2 linked regions of the Arabidopsis thaliana genome follow. The protein of the gene in region 1 interacts with the protein of each later gene in a pairwise test. Each region holds a gene or a part of one and is shown in the gene's direction. Other genes may lie near its edges.

Region 1 (5,131 bases):
TTAAATATATATATATATATATATAGTATGATACATGAAGAAAAAAAAATAAAAAATAGACAAATTCAATAAATAAATAGTTATATAGATGATGGGAATGGAAACAAAATCATAAAATATATAAACATAGGAAGGATATTTACAAAAATCAATAAAAATTAAATAAAATAAGAGAGCTTTATATATATATAATTTAAATTTTGTAATATATTGAATGGTCCAAATTGCATTCTCATTGATATTTATCTATAAAAAAAGGATTTGAAGTTCTTTTAATATCTTAAACCAAATGAGGGTTTTTGTAATATATGTGACTTGTAAATATCATCTTTATATATATGTGTGAAGTTGTGTGTCTACGTGTCTAATATACAATCAATCCTAATAGAAAAAAAAGTTGGACGCATTTGATTTGGAAAGCATTCAAGTATATTAATTAGAAAGAAAATAAAAATCCAAATAAACTGTATATTCATAAGATGGACAAGTCAAGAGATAGTGAGAATGGAAGTAAGTGTTTTAGAAAGTAATCTGTTCAAATATAAATAGAATTGAATTCAAATAACACTTTTAGAATGAGATAAACTTTTGATTTAAATGCCATCTAATTCAACAATAAGATATGAAAGAAAACCTCTTTTTTGTAACTAGATTTCCTGTTTCTTGCCCAACATCAAAACCATTGGATTTGATTTTGTTTTTTTTTTGGTAGGTCAGATTTTATTTAGTTAATGAATATGTATATGTTTTTAATTTAGATAAGGAATAACTAAGATTATTCATTCCGCTTTCATTCATGTGTTTTTAAGACTTTTGTTTCAAATATACCAATGTTTTAATTTTGTAAAATAATTGTTATATCCATGATCCATCCCTGTGAAGCTCATATGCTCAAGTAGTAGCTTATAGTTCATGTGAAATAAGAAAATGAAATCAGAATTTATATAATAATATAAGACATTGTGTAAGTTTAATTTTATTTCATGTCATTATCATTGTGACATTGTCATTATCATTAGTTTTATTATCATTATTTTATTACTATTATAAATTACAATTTGACTTTGTAAGAGTTCAAGTTTTGCAAGGAAATGTGCAGAGGCAGCTTTTTCTATATACGTTTGGGAAGCACGATCCATTTCCTTTCCATTTTTGCTTACACAGAGTAGCACAAGTGCTATCGTCACAGTTTTTAGCTCTCATTAAAAGATCACGACACATTTCTTGTCCTTTCGTCTCTTTCGTTACCATCCCTAACAAATATTAAAACATAAGCTTTAAACACAATCTTCATAGAACCAAAAAGATGTATTAAATGTTTTAAAGAATGGTATATGTAACGCAAACCTAGAACGAAGACGATCATGAAAATAGCGAATATGGTGGATTTAGCCATCTTTGATAAAAATTTTAGAGTAAAAAACCAGAAATGTTGATGATAATATAGATGTGAATATCATTATATATATATAAAAGAAATTAAATATATACATATAGTATGTACATGAATAAAAAAAAGTAGACAAAATCAATAAATAAATAGTTATTTAGATGGTGGGAATGGAAACAAAATCATAAAATATATAAACATAGGAAGGATATTTACAAAATCAATTAAAATAAAATTAAATAAGAGAGCTTCTCTTATATATACAACTAATAATTTTAAAATTTGTAATACATTGAATGGTCCAAGGTGCATTCTCATAGATTTTTATCTATAAAATATATGTAAATAAAATCCAGTTAATTATCTTACAATTCTGATTTTCATGTACAATAAGTTGGATTAATCTTTAAAAAATAAGTTGTAAGGATCCATCAAATAATCCCCTTCTAACTATAATACGCATATTTGGAGTTTAAACTCTCAAAATTTAGATATTGAATTGAGCCTTAAACCTCGAAAATAAAGTATGTCTACTACAATGATATAATTTAGATATAAACTTAACATAACACAAATTGTGGGGGTACAAAAAATGTTAGCAAAAATATAAAAAGTCCTTTTGGAAAATAAAAAGATTTGAGCAACTACATTAAGTTTATGTATTTTTTTAGAATTTCCCGGAAGAATAAAACTACTGTAGTCTCATGATATCAAAACGTTTATTGGGGACAAGACATTCTCTTGTCGTTTTGTCAATTATCCATTAGATAGAAACTGGTCCTCGAAACCTAGAATCATCCACCCCGCAAAGTCGACAGATTTCCAGCGAATTCAAACCCGATCCATCGAGATTCTGGATCAACCCGATTACCCAAGATCCAATCTTTCTAATTGATGAATCAATCGATCCCTTCTACCGTATCTTCTTCTCCGACGACTGATACGATGGACGCTTCGCCGCTTCTTGGCCGGAACAGACGTAACCGCCCACGGTCCTCTCAGCCGATTCGTGGCGCGGCGTCGAGACTTCTCCGCCGTGCTAGCAACCGCCGGATGATGCTCCGTGAGCCCTCCGTTCGAGTCCGTGAGGTGGCGGCTGAGCAGCTTGAGGAACGGCAGAGTCAATGGGCTTACTCTAAACCCATTATAGTTCTCGATATACTTTGGAATTTCCTATTTGTGATTGTTTCAATCGCGATTCTAGGGTTTAGTTCTGATGAAGATCCTGATGTTCCTCTTAGGTTGTGGATCATTGGGTATAATGTTCAGTGTTTGTTTCATGTTGGATGTGTCATTGCTGAGTATAAACGTCGCCGTGTTGCTAATTCTCCTCCTCCTAGTGGTGAAGATTCCTCCAATCACGAGTCTCTTAGCGGAAGTGAAGATGAATCTGATGGCTATAGCATTAACAACACTGATGATGATGACCATGGAACTAGGTTCAATTTCTTTCTTATGGCTACAGCATTATACTAGCTTAGATTCAGAGCAATGTTGGTTCTTGTGATAGACTTATACTAGCTTAGAATTCAGAGCCATGTTAGGTTGAAGGAAACTTTTAGGATTGTATAGAAATAAAGAACTGAATGAGAACTGTTTCCCATTGATCTACTCTCATGTGGTTTGTTTCCTATTCTAGTTTCACTAAGCACCTTGAATCTGCGAATACCATGTTCTCTTTTGTGTGGTGGATCATCGGGTTTTACTGGGTGACGGCTGATACCGAGGCACTAGCTCAATCTTCGCCACAACTCTACTGGTTTGTTTCTAACAAAAGTTGGCTGTTGTGATTTTGTATTCTCAAGAGTTTGTTTCTGTGATTTATTTAATCTTTGTTTCTTGTGTGTTTTGCAGGCTCTGTGTTGCATTCCTTGCGTTTGATGTTATGTTTGTTGTCATTTGCGTAGCGGTTGCTAGTCTTATTGGTATTGCTGTTTGTTGCTGTTTACCTTGCATCATTGCGATCTTGTACGCATTAGCAGATCAGGTAAAGAAACATTATGATGATGAAGAACAAATGAGTCTCATGTTTCTTGGTGAATCCTATTAAGCGATTTGTAAATTTCAGGAAGGTGCACCGGATGAAGAGATAGAGAGGCTTTTAAAATTCAAGTTTCTCACAGTAAAGAATTCTGAGAAAGTGAATGGCGAAATACGGGAAACTCAAGGAGGGATAATGACTGGATTAGATACCGAGTCTCAAACCGAACGTATGTTATTAAGCGAAGATGCTGTAAGTAACCATAATCAAATCTCCCATTTTCTATCGAATTTGGATAAAGACACTGAACTGACTTTAGCAAAACCGGAAAAAAAAAACCATTGCAGGAATGCAGCATTTGTCTATGTGCTTATGAAGATGGAGTAGAACTAAGGGAGCTTCCTTGTAGACACCATTTTCACAGTTTATGTGTAGACAAATGGCTAAGGATCAACGCTACTTGCCCTCTCTGCAAATTCAATATCCTCAAAAATGGTGAACCTAGTGGCAGTGAACAAGTGTGATGAGGAGAAAGATTTTGCTGTTCAATCTTTGTGGAATGTGATGAGCTCATCATCATCATTTACTTCAAAGCCTGTTTGTTCTTTTGACCATTACAGAGGAAAGAACAAGAAAGAAGACCTTGAGATTTGTTTTGAGATGAAGCTGCACATCTTGTCTTTTTGGATATGATATTTGTAAATGCAATAAGTATATATAGTTCGGTTGGAAGATGTTATTCATCGAGTCAGTTGTGATTTTAGCCGTTTGGTGTTTTTAAGCAACGGATTAATTAGATTAATGTACGGTGATGAACCATGCATGTTTATATTGCTGTGACGTCATTGTAGTGAGGTGAAAAAGAGAGAGAGAGATCACTATTTAATCAGAATTCACATTCAAAAATATATATATAAATCACTGCAATCAATTGTATTCTAAAAATTTATTCAACGTAGTAAGTCAAAGATTGATGATATAGTTTGTGGATAACAGAAGACAAATCAACTGGTGCAGTCATAAGTGCAGATGCAGACCGTGCTTGTAGTATCAACACACACGCCGTTTCCACCATGCTGCATAGTACATTCATGTGCGCATATCAAACCTTCGCAGTTTTCCTGCGGTGTTAAAAGATAATCATAACACTGTTTTTCTTCTCCTTGCGTTTCCTTTGTCACCATCCCTAATACAAAAAAATTAAAACATAGTCTCAGTTTCCTTTTGATAGAAAAATAAAAGGTGTTGTTGAAGAAAAACTAGTATGAATAATAAAGACGGAACGTGGAAAATATTAAAATATGTGTTATGTATAAAGCAAACCTAAAACGAGGACGACCATAAAGATAGCAAGAGTGATGGCTTTAGTCATTTTTGATAATACAACAGAAATGAAATTATCAAAAATAAGATGACAATGAGTGTAATGATCATCTACACGTGAATGTCATATATAAGATATCACAAAATCTCTAAAATTAGTTAAAAATCAACAAGTAATTAAGTAGATGTTGTATTCAAACAAAGAGAAATTAACTTAAAAGTGGAAACGTATAAAAGTGGAAAAGAGAAAGAGATCATATTACGATTATCTACCATACTAATGTGGTTATTCTGTAATCGTAAGTAGCAACAAGAGAGAAGCGTGTGGAAGTAGTTAAACTGTTAAAGGCTTAAAGCCAATATTGCCGCTATTTTAAAAGTCCGACAAAACTTCCTTGTAGACAACATTTCTACAGTTTATGTGTAGACAAATGGCT
Region 2 (4,045 bases), on another chromosome or scaffold:
TCATATAATTTTGGAAATTTTTGTCATTTGTATTCTTGATAGGTAACAAGAATTCTAAGATTTGTCTTTAGTAATTTGCTCATAGGTCTATTGGAAGCCGTAATCCGTCATGAGCAAGCTGTACATGGATTCCTTCCCTAGAAATCAACATAGTCTCTATTAGCATTCAACGATGTTGATTTATAGAAATCTTATAACATTGTTTCATTGCATACCTTAGAGACCATTCTGCAAGTATCTCATTGTATTCATGGTGATCAAACTCGTGTGTCATACCCGTTAAAAGCGCTCTCTTTGGACATAGCCTCTTTAAGATCTCAAGAGCCTAAAGAATAGGAATATTGAAACTTACTCTCAAAAAGGTTTAGAGAAGTGAAGCATTCTTTGGGAAGAAAAAAAAGAGAACCATTGAAACAAACCTCTGTAAAACAGATGTGTGTGGGATGTGGTCCTCTCTATTATCAAAGAGATGGTCAGCAAGAAAGGTTATCAAGATCGAAAAAGCGGTAAACAAAAGTTATGAGATGATGTGAACCTTCCACGGTATATTTGTATCCAGGATAAGAAGATCTAACTGTCCAGCCCCAGCTTTGGAAATAGCTGCTTAATCAAAGATTCATAAGAATATCAATCTTTCTCTTTAGTAGAAGTGAACTACAGAGGTATAATGATTAGGGCATAACATAATGAGCTCTTACCATACTCGGTACTCGGTGGAATCCGTGATACGTCTGATATATAAGCCACTTTACTTTTATCGCCGAAGAGGAAACCTAAAGCAATGTAGTCCTCTCCATGCATCACCTAAAGCATAACTAACATTGTTGAGTCTATAAGGTCTCATGGAAGAATTAGACTGTTTTGATTTCTCAAAAGTGAAAAGAAATTTAACCGGAAGAGGCGTGAAAGATAAGCCCGAGGCAGCGAATGGTTCGTCACAATTCTCTTCGATGTTTTTCCAGTCAAGAAGTGAAACTCGTCTAGGTACTTCTTTTACCTTCTTTTCAACCAAATAAGGAAACCTTGTAGCAATACTGCACAATTTTTTGTTGCCTTAAAAGTCTCATCAAATGCTAATTTGAAAAGCTTTAAGCCAGAGTTGAGATAGAGAACACTAATCGAAGATGGTACCTCTCCATTGTAAATTGAGATAGAAAGACGGGAAGTGGATCGGTATCAACAATAGTTGCACCACGAGGTTGAAGAGATCGAATTTCATCTAAGCCATGAACCGCATCTGCGTGCTCATGAGTTAGAATGATCTACACAAAATCATACAAGCATTAGTCAGTAAAAGTTAGATTTCATTTCAGAGAAAAAAATAGATGCAAGAGATCAAGAAGATAAGTATATAAAGGGCTTAACGGAATCGACTCGAGGAATCTTATAAAAGGTAAACCAACGAAGGACTTGCTCTCTAAAACTCTTGCCAACATCAATAAGTATGTACTTATGTCTACCATCTTCTTCCTTGCTGCAATAATCAATCAAGAGCGATGTATTGCATCTGCCAAAAAACAGAGAATCAAGATTCAAGAATGTTCACCAAACCCTAATATATCTGAAATAATTTCCCAAGAACACTAGAAATCGGATGGTTCATTTTTACCTAAAATGGATTAAAACCTAAACTCCAACACGAATATAGACAACAGTAGATGTCTCTTTTTTCAATCAAAACTCCCAACTTCAAAAGGGTCTTTACGGAAAGCAACAAGATTTGACATTTCACAAATCTCCACAGCTTCAAAGACCAAAACCCAAAGAGAAGAAACTGATGACAAGATTTACCTGTAGTTAGGGTTAAGGTGAGGAAGTAAAGAGAGGGACTGAGAACAGACATGGCAAGGAGGATCTGACGGCTGGAGTAAGCATCTGAAATCGGGAACTGCACCGGAGCAGCCTGTTCCAAGAAAGATCAGAGCCGTTCCATCATCATCAGATTGATTCTTCTCCATCTTCTCAAGATTCTGATCTTCTGGTTGGTCTAGCCAAAGCTGATTAATGCCAACGGCTATATCTTTGTTTATTGTATTAGTTGAGATTATATGCGATCCCTTACACAAACTTGTCTTTTTCACAGTATATATATTCCTTTTATTAACATAAAATATCTAAGCCATTACTTTGAGTCTTTGACACTGATATATGTAGTCATAATGATATTGACTACTAATTTTTCCAAACAAAATAGTAAAAGATTAATGACTTACCCCACAAATCCACCGGATTGTGATTTTTTTTGTTATATATCATTGTTTGACTCCTCTAAATTAGAAAAAAATCTTCTACATTTCTTTTTCTGTATAACAAAATCTTAAATTTAAATCGTTATGGTAACGAAATCTTTTCTTTTGTTTTTCCAGTTTATTGATTAAATATACTTCCACAGAATTTAAATTTACTTAATTATTAAAAACAATGCAGTCACAATCTTTCCAATTACCATTTCATTATCTCACAAATTCGACCAAATGTTTTTCATATTTCACAAAAAAAAATATATTAAAGCGCGTGTGAACCATAACCACGCGATTGCCAGCTCAAAAACAAATTCACAAAGAAGCGTACACGACACGCGCTACGACTGAGTGTAAGGATTCTCATAAACTGCTCTATTTTATTTTGCTCAGTCGCAGACAAATCTCAAAACAGATTCGATCGATAAGCAAGAACTTCCAATCTCTAATGGCAGATCAAACAGAATCTCCAAGATCGTATCATATCTTCATCACAATCATGAGTAAAAGACGGACATGGGTTTGTCTCTTCATCGCTGTCTACGCAATTCTCGTATCTTCTTCATGGAACCTCCTGAGATCAGTTCTTAACTGGTACAAGCTTCAATACACGTCATCAAATTCAGATTATTCTCCTTCAAGATTACCGGCGGTATACGCGTCGGTGGTGCTCGGTGCGATGTTTGGAGCTATGTCGATGGTGGCTGCTATGACGGTGGCGGTTCCGGCGGTGATGGTGATTTGGATATCGGTGGTGGTGTTGCTTGCCTTCTTTGGGAAATCAAGAAGAGTTTTAGTGGTTGAAGGAAGGAAGATTACGAGAGAAGTTGTCGGATTTGTGTTTAAGGTTCTTTTGAAAGAAGGCAATGTTGTTGCTGCTTTTTGTGCTGTTTTAGCTTATTTTCTGCTTATTAGAAGAGATTTTGACTCATATTAAGGTTCTTGATTTTTAGATTATTTAGGGAATTTTGATCTAGATTATCTTGAGTCACTCCCGAATGTAAATGTAAAGTTAATTTAGAAAATCAATTGTTAGTAGTAGAATGAAGAAGTTCATGATGCATTGGCTCAATTTTTTTTGTTTGTGGTTAGATAATTTTTCTTGATGACAGCATTTAGTATCTAGAATGGATCGTCCCACAACTTCTCATTTGAGATATTGAAAATCATGATTTGTTATCCGTTTGTGGGTTCATTGCCACACAATTTCAACACATGGACCAATAACCAAGTGATTTACATATCCTATTAAGTTTGTTATCAGTTTTCACTATTTAAGTTACCCGGTTATTATTTTAGTAGCTTAAAACTACATCAACTAGTTGAAGAGGCATGTTTTGCGAAGATAAGATCATATAATAATGGGTTACACAACTTCTTTCTTACTCAAATTCCTTCTTGAGGAAGGTGTAACATTCCAACATTGAAGTAGTGGATTTCACACACTGATACTTATTTTTATAAGTACCTTTCTTGATAAAAAGAATTCTAATACCTCAACTAAAAACTCTAATTTGGGGAAAAAAATTAATGTCTGCAAACCTTTTATAACAAAAAATTCTAAGAACTCTAAAATCATGAAAATGCGTGAATCTTTTTGTCTTTGGAACATATATTGTTGAACTTTTTTTTTTAACTGAGCAAAAAAAAGAATTTTTTTTTGAAAGACCAAATTGGATGACAATTATGTTAAATTTCACATGTTTCTAGGATAATAAGGTAATTTAAATACCATCGCTCGGTCTAGAGAATTACATCTTAGGATTTTGGGATTTCAGATAGAGGATTAGGGTTTAGTCGATCAT

What was found. Proteins that work in one complex are often made in the same cells at the same time.
Region 2: the proteins of AT3G61180 (region 1) and AT4G03600 interact in a protein complementation assay, tested with the Arabidopsis thaliana proteins (one large-scale study listed by BioGRID).

What each region holds. Positions count from the first base shown.
Region 1 is NC_003074.8:22,643,396-22,648,526, forward strand, and holds AT3G61180 (RING/U-box superfamily protein), read left to right. Parts: upstream 1-2,096; 5' UTR 2,097-2,284; coding exon 2,285-2,829; intron 2,830-3,029; coding exon 3,030-3,149; intron 3,150-3,244; coding exon 3,245-3,377; intron 3,378-3,458; coding exon 3,459-3,623; intron 3,624-3,718; coding exon 3,719-3,895; 3' UTR 3,896-4,370; downstream 4,371-5,131. Other genes in the region: LCR53 (low-molecular-weight cysteine-rich 53), read right to left, coding at 1,075-1,253, 1,348-1,396; LCR54 (low-molecular-weight cysteine-rich 54), read right to left, coding at 4,376-4,557, 4,695-4,743.
Region 2 is NC_003075.7:1,602,952-1,606,996, reverse strand, and holds AT4G03600 (pyrroline-5-carboxylate reductase), read left to right. Parts: upstream 1-2,368; 5' UTR 2,369-2,688; coding exon 2,689-3,177; 3' UTR 3,178-3,359; downstream 3,360-4,045. Other genes in the region: AT4G03610 (Metallo-hydrolase/oxidoreductase superfamily protein), read right to left, coding at 80-137, 216-325, 420-455, 536-600, 699-804, 893-1,034, 1,132-1,262, 1,366-1,507 and 1 more.